Linked DNA regions of Alligator mississippiensis. The protein of the gene in region 3 purifies or fractionates together with the protein of the main gene of each other region. This does not show direct contact. Links are inferred from orthologs where the notes say so. Each region holds a gene or a part of one and is shown on either strand. Other genes may lie near its edges.

What was found.
Region 1: the proteins of TICAM1 (region 3) and TLR4 purify together in Homo sapiens (affinity purification with western blotting; 3 studies listed by BioGRID). This does not show direct contact. The link is inferred for Alligator mississippiensis from reciprocal best matches to the Homo sapiens genes TICAM1 and TLR4.
Region 2: the proteins of TICAM1 (region 3) and RIPK1 purify together in Homo sapiens (affinity purification with western blotting; 4 studies listed by BioGRID). This does not show direct contact. The link is inferred for Alligator mississippiensis from reciprocal best matches to the Homo sapiens genes TICAM1 and RIPK1.

The regions. Positions count from the first base shown.
Region 1 is NC_081835.1:55,042,831-55,046,575, reverse strand, and holds the start of TLR4 (toll-like receptor 4), read right to left. Parts: upstream 2,861-3,745; 5' UTR 2,764-2,860; intron 1-2,763.
Region 2 is NC_081826.1:121,052,686-121,056,430, forward strand, and holds the start of RIPK1 (receptor-interacting serine/threonine-protein kinase 1), read left to right. Parts: upstream 1-1,241; 5' UTR 1,242-1,396; intron 1,397-1,609; exon of another isoform or gene 1,610-1,875; intron 1,876-2,248; exon of another isoform or gene 2,249-2,308; intron 2,309-3,745. UniProt on the Homo sapiens protein: Serine-threonine kinase which is a key regulator of TNF-mediated apoptosis, necroptosis and inflammatory pathways.
Region 3 is NC_081839.1:4,935,130-4,938,874, forward strand, and holds the start of TICAM1 (TIR domain-containing adapter molecule 1), read left to right. Parts: upstream 1-1,043; 5' UTR 1,044-1,174; intron 1,175-1,226; exon of another isoform or gene 1,227-1,696; intron 1,697-3,017; 5' UTR 3,018-3,249; coding exon 3,250-3,745.

The DNA.
Region 1 (3,745 bases), on a different chromosome or scaffold from region 3:
TAAACTGTACAACAGCCAATTTATCTATATTTTTAAAAAGTGAAAAATAATTTAGCAAAGCAATTATTTGATCCTATGACCCCAGCTGACGTCCTGCCCTTTGGGCGGGGGGCTGGACTCGATGATCTTCTGAGGTCCCTTCCAGCCCTAATGTCTATGAAATCTATGAAATTATCTTCAGATGCACACAGAAGCCATGACTGGCCTCCACCCCAGAAACCACCACAATCCGGGGGGTGGGAATAAAAAACCTTGTTTCTTTAAAATAAATTGTCTATTTTTTATTCTGTGCCTATAAATTAAGGGCTAGATTTTGCAAAAAAGCTCTAATGTTCCCATTTAGACTCCCAAAGAAGCTGCTTTTGTCCTTCAATGTGCCCAGAGCCTTGGGTGTTGTCAAGCACTTGTGGAAATCTAGCTGCAAGCATCATCACGGGGACTGCTGGGTACTGAACACTAAGGAAAATCCGTTCCTTGATTAAGTGTTAAATCAGAGACAAGCTCTTTATACAAGCAGTCTCTATTTCTTTGTGCTAACCCAGCCAATGTCTTAGGAATCTGGTCCTAAGTAGAAAGTAGCAAATCAGACCAAATGTAATATAGGGGTTTCCCTTACTAAGGGAAATCACAATGGAGTTGTTGGGGTCCAAATCTAATCTTATGTCAATGGACCTGGCTGAGGGCTGGATCAGGAAATCTACCCCGAAGTAAAATGAAATGCTGCTGTTTGACTTCACTTGAAGGATAAGTATTCTGGTCCCTTGAATTGGAAGTCTCTTACAAACTGCTCCTGCCATAGCCAACTAAGGATGCTTATACTTCCCACTAAGGTTGGCAAGCCAATCAATTGACCACATATTGTTTTACCAAAAATTATAGCAATTGTACAAAAAAACCCTACATTTTTGTAGTTTTCTTGACAGAAATATGATTTTTAATTGGGGTTTTTGTACACTTTTCTTGACGGAAAATTTGTGCCTCTTCTGTGTATTATTTGGACCTATTGGCAATTTTTTTACCAATATCAGTTTTTGACTGACACTTGACCAATCAATTCACTGAACTTTATTTGACCAGTCAAATAGCCAACCCTGCATCCCAACAGGGAACTCCACAATGAGAATTTGTCTTGCATTAGTGCCTACAGGTCTCAGTTGCATTTGAGCACTGTTTGCTGCACCTGTTTCTGCAGTGCCCAGCACAAGTACAGTCATCGCTGTGATGGGGGCTGAAGCTGCACATCTGTGGTTTGTTTTGCTAGATGGGGAGGAACCAGCTTAGCAGCACTCTGGCATGTACTGGGCTGCCCAGGGTGGGTGATGTGAAGGTGAACCATCAGAGCTTAACCTTCAAGGGCTGGCAAGAGCCTCCTCTCTCAAACCTGGGTGTCCCACTACACTCACATAAGCCTTAACCACCTTCAGACTGCTACTGCAGGGGCCCTGCAGACCAGCTAGTGCAGAAAGCAGCTGCCAGACTACTTAATAATACATCTGGAGCAGTCACCCACTGGAAGGCCTTGGATTCCCATTTCCTTCCAAGGTTCTGCATTGGCTAGAAAGGTTTTTTGCATGGGTCATGTTTGAAAAACTGCCTATCTTTATGGTCATGGCTGATAGTCTGGATTGACTGGGTCCCTGAGGGTGATGGCCACTAGACTTGTCTGGCTTGGGATTAAATAACTCATACAGGATGCCCTTAGTGCTGAAATTCAACATACATTCTCGACCTCCTTTAGTTCCAAGGGCAGCTGCCACCTTTTTCAGTACCCAACCACTCATACCCTGCTTTGCTAAGATACCAAAAATGTATGGCTCCAGCTGGAGCCAGGAAGAGCTGTGGGCGCTTTTCACTTTAGGAAATCAGCACACCTGGCCTTTCCAACATGGGTGCCTCTACTCCTGATTGCTTATATTTGGCACAGTAGTGCCTCCCAATTGACTGTGAGCTTCAAGTGTGCTCTCCCATCATGTCCTAGCTAGAACTGCCCTGGACAACGCTGCTGAAGAATGTCACAAAGTGCTAGACGTGAGAATTAACCCTGAAATCCCTAACTCCTGTGGGAGTCTGCAGCTTGGGCCCACCTTCAGAACATGTTCTTCTATTAGCAGAAGCAAATGAAGAGACCTGGCTGGCTCTAGGAACCGGCTGAGCAGAAGGGAACCTCGATGAATGGGACTGGACCAGGTCAGCCATAAAATTCACAGAACTGCCTCTCCCTTTATTTCTCAATATCTTCCTTCCTTTGTTGTAGCAGCCGATTGATGTATTTCTCAATCCTAGGCTAGGCCCTAACTACTGGATGGTTGCTACTCTCATGAAAATCAGAATATCTGAGTTCAAACCTCCTTTTGAAGCTCTGACCTGGGAGGATTCAATCCCTATCTCTGTGCCTCACTTTCCCCAGTGGCAAAACAGCTATAACAATGATTCACTCTTGTGTGAGCAGGCTTCAAAGTTGCATTGAAATCCAGTATGCTACCCTGCCTTGTGCCCATATCCCTGAGATCGTGTCACTTCCCACTATTCTGCCTGAGAAATGGCAACCGATTCTTTATGGTCTTCTAGCAGTAAGTGATTGTGTGACAGATGTTACTTTTTTTACTGTAACCTTGAAAAAGAAATAGGGTAGTAAATTAAAATGCATTCTGTCTGAAATCCACCTTGCCCTCCTCCACACACCAACCCCAGCCTCTTGCCTCCCCCCTTCCAAATAAATAGAAAAAAAAAAAAAAATCAACTGCTTTAAGTATTGCTCCTCACACTTCAGCGCAGCAGGACAAGCAGGAAGCAAATTAAAGTGACTGTAATAACCATCAGAACCTTCCAGTGCTGGGACAGATGGTGGCATCACAGCATCTTTTCTGGTGGAAAAAAAAAAAATCTATATTAAAATAAATGGGAATAAAAGAAGAGAGAGAGAGAAAAAGAAAACCTCAAATCAACAACCTTTAATGCACGCAGACCTTCTGCTAAAAAGGCTCCATACTGAGATGTGGAACGAGAGCTGAAGAAAAGGTTGCCACAGAAATCATCAACTGCTCTTCACAAACAGATTGTCTCCTGGTGGCCGTGGTTGTTCCTGATGACCTCTTATGGAAAAGGCCTACAGAGACCACAAAGTACTTTTCTTTTGGGACCATCCTGCAGAATTTAATACATGTCTTTATGCCTGCAGTAGGTTTCTAGCCAGCCTACAGAACAGACCTCTCTTTGCTTCCTGAATTGCACAGGTCTTGGTAATCATTTGGTTTAATCCCTATTTGATTTTATAGGATTTAGAGATTGTGTAAGTGAGGAGATTGGTTCAGTGATGGAATCTATTAGTTCAATGATGGGCTTAAATAAGGATACACAGACATCTTTTTAGGGAGATCTCTCTCTCTCTCTCTCTCTCTCTCTCTCTCTCTCTCTAATTGGGAATGCCAGGGCAACTACTCCATAGGGAAAGCCATTACAGCCCTTCAGCTAGGTCCTTCTGGTCTCTCTGAGCTTTAGCTGAAAGCCAGAAACATCAGGAACCAGCAAACTAATAGATCAACTTGGTCTTTTCCTAAACTTAGTTGCCAACCAACAGAGCATTTTCATAGGCAACTTGCACTAGAGCATCCCCAAAGCACTTGCTTGGTAGGTAGATGTGTGTTACCAAAAAAAAAAAAAAAAGGAAAAGCTCACCCTGCCCTTTTCAGAGGGGAAGAGGAAAGTTCTTCCTTGGGACTCCCCCAAGCAGTTTTATTAGGTCTCC
Region 2 (3,745 bases), on a different chromosome or scaffold from region 3:
ACTGGGGCACACTGCCATATTGTGCAGTGGCCCCAGCGCCAGGAAGGGCACACCTTAACACACACCCACCGTGTCACCCACCCACATCACAAGTTTTGCCTGCCAGCAGCTTGAGGTGCAGGGCCCCAGAAGACAGACTCCCCCAGCGAGACACACACACAGCTGGCAGGCTTTGTGGCCTCAGCAAGGGCCACCACCCCTGCAGTTTTCAGCCCACTGCACCTTAACACACAGTGGGTCATCTATGTCATGAGTTTTGCCTGTCAGCAGCTTGAAGTGTAGTTCCTCCCAAACCCCTGCACCTATCTTCTTGAAACTTGGCAGACTTTGTGGCCTCAGCAGGGGCCACCACCCCTGCAAGTTTCACCCAAATCAGAGGCAAAACAACAAAGTTATAGATATTTAATTGATCACACAGGCCTACCTGACAGCCCAGGGCACCCTTGAGAGGATCTCAAGGTTTCCCCCAGGGCACCACGGCTCCCTGCCTGAAAATCACGGCTCTAGATCCGAGTCAGCAATGTTATTGGACTGTCAAGAACACCAGCAAACTCAGTTTGTAAGATGTTGGTGTGCCAGAGGCAGATGGCGGGGGGGGGGTGTGCCGCAAGGGGCCCAATCCTCATTGTGGCAGTGCAGCCCTGGCCCCTTTCTTGCTGCCTGCCCCAAGATGTGCATGCCAAGCAAAATGCCTTGGTGGGCCACACTCTGGCACCTGTGCTAGGATTTGCCTACCCCGTTTTAGATGTCCAGTAACATGCTGTAGAGATAACTCCTCCCTGTGGGATTCAGAGAGGCCACTTCCCTGTTAGTCTGAAGGCAGGTATTACACTTGATCTCAGCCAACAGGCAGGAAAGGTCTGTTAACCTCCAAAACAGTGATGCTCAACCTTTTTAGACTCAAGGCGCCTCCAGGAAAATGCCTGCTTCTAGCTTTTACTTGTGGTTTTTATAACTACAGAAAAACAGTAAGACCAATTCTTCTGTTGCAAGCAACTCAGCCCAGAAGGGGGGGAATGCTTTTGATACTACAGATTCCTGCTTGAAAGCCTGGGTTTTATCTGCAAATGGTGGCTGCAAACCCAACAGTGCTCCCACTGCGCAGCACCTTTGGAAGGACCTCAAGGCCTCAGGGCTGCCACAACTTCCTGCCAGAGAATCACTGCTCACATGCTGAGTAACATGCTCCGGAGATAACTCCTCCCCGTGGGATTCAGAGAGGCCACTTCCCTGTTAGTCTGAAGGCAGGTATTGCACCAATTCACAGAAGTTTAGGGCTGGAAGGAGCCATCCTGCTGTGGGCAGGAAAGACAGCTGGGGTCAAATAACCATAGCAAGGTCTGCGTCCAAGTCTCCTTTTGAAGATCTCCAGGCTACACTTGATCTCAGCCAAAAGGTAGGACAGGGGCCAGCACCTTAGAGTCTGTTAATCTCCAAGGTGGTGGCTCTCAACCTGTCTTAGACTCAAGGTGCCCCTGGAAAAAATGCTAGCTCCTAGCTTTCACACGCGTGTGTGTTTTTTAACTACAGATAAACAAGTCTTCTGCAAGGCAGCCCAGAAGGGGTGAGATTGCTGTTGACACTACAGATTCCCGTTTGAAAGCCCTGGGTCTATCTGTGCACGGCGGCTGCAAAGCCAGCAGCGCGGCCTCTGCGCGACACCCCTGCAGGGGTGCCAGGGCCCCCCGGGGTGCCGCCCGGAGCCCTCCTCCTCCTCCCGCCTGCCGGCAGCCGGACTTCCCCGCGGGGCGAGCCCGGCCCTGTTCCTGGGCGGCTCCTCCCCGCGGCCCGACTGGCGGAGACTGGCGGCGGGGGCACCGCAGGCCTCGCCTCGGCTGGGCTTGGCTCTCCCGGCGCTGGAGCGGGGACACGAGGGTAAGACGCCCCCGGCCCGCGCGGCGCGGGAGAGCAGGCTGCCCCGTGTGCCCGCGCGGGTCCGCCTTGGCCTTGGCCTTGGCGGGGCGGACTTCCCGATCGCTGCAAGCAAAAGCGAAAGCGGCGCCTCCACGTCGCCCAGCGCCCTCCCCTCGGTCCCGGCTGCGAAGTGCGCCCCGCTGCCCCTGCCTGGCCGCGAGGACCTCCCCGCCCGGGCCTGGCGCCACCCCACGGGGCCCCGCCGCCTGAGGGGAGGGGGGGTGCCCTGCTGCTGCCGCCGCCGCCGCCGCTGCCCCCTGGGCAAAGGAGGGGGGGAGGGGGCTGGGGTTGGGGCACGGGGGTGAGGAGAGGCAGAGGGAACTGGGCTGATTGAGTCTGGAGCTGGGGACAGCCATCCAAGAAGCCCGAGCCTGAATGGATTCAGTCTTTGCAGGTTAGTCTAGCCTGCAGAGCTTGATCCGCCAAGCAAGTAGATAGACGTTCACTTTTGATCCCAGACATGCAGGCACAGGCCTGCAGTGGCTCAGGCTAGAAGCCTGGTGGGGTGGGGGGGCTAGAGCAAGCCCTCCCTTCCCTTTCATGGTGCCGAGATGAGGGGGTGGCCTGAGTATGTTTGGAGAGGGGTTTAAACCACCAGGCTGACCTGCAGGGACCCGAGCTGGGATGTACCTGGAGGCTGGAAGCAGCCTTTGCCAGGCTTTTGGGGGGCTGGGGAACATGGCCAGACCCTGGCCACTAACTAGATGCCAGCTGAGCATGGTGGCCCCCCGAGGCAAAGGCAGCAGGAAGGGAATTTATTACACCTGCCATTCCCCCTCCCTCCAGGGTCTGCCTGGTCAAGGGCAACCAGCAGACAGTTGCCAGGGCTGGCAGAGGGTCCCCCAGTGGGAGAGGGGAGGGAGGGGAGAAATAAACCCTCTCCCTGTCTCCTTCACTCCATGCTGGGCAGGCCTCTGGCCACAGCCCTGCCCCTGCTCCAGCTAGAGAGCAGTGACAGGGCACCCTGCTTTCTGGAGCAGACAACACAGCCCAGCCCAGGGCTGCAGAGCATGCTGGGGGACTCTGGTTTAGCTTAAACCAGGAAAGGGTCTGGGACAGAAGCTCCGTAAACCAATTTGACCTCAATCAGTTAAAGTCTGATACTACATTCAATCAGGTTTATCTTAGATCAGTTTCAGCCATTTTGAAACTGGTTTATGTGCACTGAACTTCTGTTCTGTTACAGGTTTAAACCAGTTTCTGATCATTTAAACTGGCTGATGTGCAACTTTTGTCCCTAGCCAAGAAGGGGGGGGGAGTTGGCAGCAGCTTTTCACTCCTTGAGGGGGGGCTCCCAAAAGGATGGAACTGGACTTGTCTCAGGGGTGGGGCAGATGACAGGATAAGGAGCAATGGTATCAAGTGGCAGCAAGAGAAATGGAGGTGAGATATTAGGAAAAGCTCTCTCACTGGAACAGGTTACCCAGAGGTGGTTTGGATGAAAAGCAACCAGTTAGATCATAGAAAATTAGGGTTGGAAGGGACCTCAGGAGACCATGTAGTCCATCCTTCAAGGGTTTAAGGCCTGGCTCAACAAAGCCTTGGCTCAGATGAGATAGTTGGTGATGGCCCTGCTTTGAGCAGGGGGTTGTACTCACTAGATCAGCATTTCTCAACCTGTAGGTTGCAACCCAAAAGTGGGTTGGAAGAATATATGGACGGGTCACAAGCAAACTTTAAAAAATGATTCTCCTTTAAAAGGAGAAAAATGTGGGAAACCATGGGTTTTCCCTTGCTTCTGCCAGCCTGAGAGGGACTGCTTGGGGCACCCTCTGCCCCACACACTGGGGGGCTGGGGCATGGAGCCAGGGGGCAGTGGATTGGGAGTGAG
Region 3 (3,745 bases):
TGGTTGCCTTCTGCCCCTCAGATTTCTGTTTCCACAATAACCAGCCCCTTCTCTTGCATTGAAATTGGAAGCTGCGCTTTTTAAAGGATCAGTTTTCTGTGGGATTTGTACTCCCCATCGCTTCAGTGCATTTAAATTCTATTCGCAAAAACTTACTCTGCCCCTATTTAGTTCATCCCAAGTGCTCAGCAGTCACTGAAAAGATGGCGCAGGGCAGCTTTTATGGGCGTTACTAAGATAGATCCGGCTTGACCATTGTTATGAGGCCAGGCCTGTTGCAAAGGGGAGGGTTGGGGGATGCGCGGGTACCTAGTGCCGAGTGCCTGCTGCGGCTGTAGCTTGTTTCAGGGATCCAGAGACAAGCCACGTGGCTGGGCTAGGACCGAGTGTCTGGAAAATGGGAACCGTTGGCTTTGAAATAAATCTTGTTTCCAAATCCAGACAGGTTTGTGGGGCCTGCATCTGCCTGCGCGCCAAGCTGGAGGGAGGGAGGCCCTGTGGGCTGGGAGAGCTGGAGCCGAACAAAGGCAGCCAGTTCTCCCCTTAGGCGGATGGAGGCTTTCAGCGCTGGCAGAGGGGCCGTGCCACTGCTTCTGCTCCACCGCCGCGCTTTGTCTCCGGCTGGTTCTTGCCCCTTTTCATCGTCTTTTAGGGGCTGGAAGGGGGCCTGACAGATCGTTGGCACTTGGGCAGGAAAGACCAGATGAAATGGGCATCAAGACTTTGCTTTTTTTTCCCGCCCCGGATCAGCCCGCGGCCCTTCCCAAGGAGCCCCAGCCCTGCGGGTCTCTGGGCATGGGCCAAGCCCACGACCCCCTGCTGAAGCCGAGGCCTCCAGTGCCCCCGCTGCAGCCCGGCCCTCCCCCGCAGGCCTGCGAGGCTCGTGCCAGGATCCGGCCCAGCCCGGCCGAGGGGCTGCCCCGCGCCGCCTGCTCTGCCAGGCCCAGAGCGCCCCCCAGCTGCGCCCCCGCGCAGGACTGGCCCCGCCCGCTTGGAACGTTGAGTTGCAACTCCAATGTATCCGCTGCCATTGTGGCGTCACGACACCCCGCCCCCCGCTGCGCTTCCAGGTCGGATTGGGGGGCGGGGCGGGGCAGGGCAGCCTCGCTGCCCGGGACACTGTCACGAGGCCAGGCCCGGCTCGGCTCGGCTCGGCTCGGCTGGCGGCGCCCAGGTAACCCTCTCCCTGCCCCGCAGCGGGGGGAGAGCCGGGGGGCAGCGGGAGCGGGGTGGGGCTGCCGGTGCCCAGGGAGCAGGGCCATGCCCGACGCGCCGGGCCCAGCAGCGAGGTCTGGGCTCCCGCTCCCCAGGGAAGGCTCCGCGGGGCAGTGGGGCCAGGTCCCCCAGGGCTGGCATCCCCCGGGCTTTTGAAGAAGCTGAGCTGCCTTCCAGCAGGCAAGGGCATGGGAATGAGGGCCCCCAGGAGATGCAGCCTTTCCCCTGCCTTGTGCCCGGGCACCTTTCCCGGCTCCCCCACCCCCCGCTTTGCCAGGAACTGTCTGCAAAGGCAAAGGAAGCGATGGAGCAGGAAGAAGAACCTCATTAAAGTGACCCTGGACTTGGGAGGTTCCCAGCCGAGGCCTGCTCTGCATTTCTCTGTCTGTTCTCGCCTAAAACGGGGCGTTTAAGAAAAGACTAACTCCTTTCGTAGCCCAGAAGTGTCTGACGTTCGTGCAGCGGTTAGTTCTGGGACAAGGTGCGTGAGCAGAGCAAAAAGAAACTCGGCCGGTTGGTGCGACGCGTCTGAGTCACGAAGGGAAAGGAGTAAACACCAGTGGCAAAGCTCTGGGTTTTGCTGCCCCTGTTTGAAAGGCGAAGGGGATTTTTTTTCTTAGAAGTTTCAGTGAATCACAATCTTTCAGGGGAAGGGATGCAACTTTAGATGCGTTCAATCTGTCATGAAGCAACTGGAGGATTTTTGCAAGCTAGGAAAAAAAAAACCCCGAGCGACTTAAAAACAGGGTGAAACTGTAAATTTCCCCCAGGGATCTGGCTTGTTGGGGCTGTTTTGAAACACTGTGTTTTGGGATGCTCTTATAAATGCTGAGAGATTTTGCAGCAAGCCAGGTAGACCAAGAGCAGGCGTTGGTAAGCAGCGGTTCTGCTGAGTGCCTGACCCACAGACCTTCCACTCCTTGGCCAGGTCTGTCCAGGCTACTAGTGAGGTCTGGTCCTAAATTTAACTTGCTGCCAGAAGGCGAGGGTGAGTCCAAGAGTGTAATAGGATCCAGGGTTTAGCTGTGTGACCATGGATAACAGGAGGGTCTGCAACGGCGTTTGAGTGGATACAAGTCTGTTTGCCAGGGGAATAAGTGCACATCCTTTGGTGGATATAACCTTGGAGCCACCGAGAAGTTTCTCTACTGGGCAGTTGATTTTATAGCTGCTGGTTAACGAGGATTCCCCAAGGCATCTGGTGTTAGCTGCAGCCACAGACAGGACTCCGGGTGAGATGGTGGATTGTTGCTCTGATCAGTTGGGTGACATACCTAAATCTGTTAATGATTTCAAGTCAAGTTAGTCCCGAGGCCTGTGTGCCCATTGGGGCACCTTAGACGCGGTAACAACCCTCCTAGGTTAGTTGAATTGCTTTGCATCGCTGGTGATTCTTGGGGCAGAGTGACCTGGTGGTGTCCATCTCCTGTCCAGCTCTGGATGACTCTGGGCTTGTCTGCCCTTTGACAGGTCTTGTTTTTAGTCCTGCTGAGTGTCCACACACCCTCCTACCCAGGCTAGCCCAGGTGGGGGGGTGCTGGTTTAGTCTCTGACAGCCCAACCAGTTAACGATTTAGCCATTATTATTTTAAAGCACTTACTGCAGGGATACATGGGAACCATGTAGAGCCTTCCTATGAGCTTACCACGAGGATCGCAAAGTGAATGGTAGACTATGGGGGTACGACCGAGGAGTGACGTTCTTGCTAAGGCACGGTGCAGACGGTGATCTCAGATGAGTCCAGGCTGGAGCACGAGGCTGTCTGCCCGTCACGTTTCTGTAACTTTCTGTTCTCTCACAGGTCTGGCAGGTGAGCTCTGAAGAGGGAAGGGACAACAGCATGACACCACAATGCTGAAACCCCTGGGGAGAGAGAGAAGCCGCTGAGGATGTGTAGCACCCAGAGCCTGCCAAGCACCGCACAGAATGTAGAAAAGAAACCGGCCTTTGCTTATTCCAGGCCCCAGAGAGAGTAGTATGCTTTTTCCATCCCCTGCTTCTTCGGCGCGTTGTCTGAATAAACAGCTGATGCAATGGCAGAGAGCGCAGAGACCCAGCCCACATTTGAGGACGTCTTCAGTCTTTTATCTAGGATCCCCGAAAATAGACTCATTAGCCTGAAACATAAGCTGAAGCACATGAGACCCAGCACAAGCAGCAGTAAGTTACTGCAAGCCATGGTCTTGCTGGCTTTGGGGCGGGAGGCAGAGGCTAGGATCTGCCTGGATGCTTTGGGAGAGGACACGGGAGCCTTGTATGTCTGCAGGACCAGACTGGGGTCTGCAGGGGTGCCAGCAGGCTGTGTGGACCCAGGGACGCCCCAGCTGGATGCAAGCGCGCTGTGGGTCCTGGCACAGATCTACTCTCTGCTGGTAGAGGAGAAGGTGTGCAGTCAGGAAGCCAAAATCCGCGCCTATAGAGCTGCCATTCAAGCTGCCAGGGCCAGTAAGGGGAGCCTGGGGGAGCGGCTGAGCAGCTTGCTGGCGGAAGCTCAGGAACAATGCGGCATGGACATCAGCCTGGCAGAGA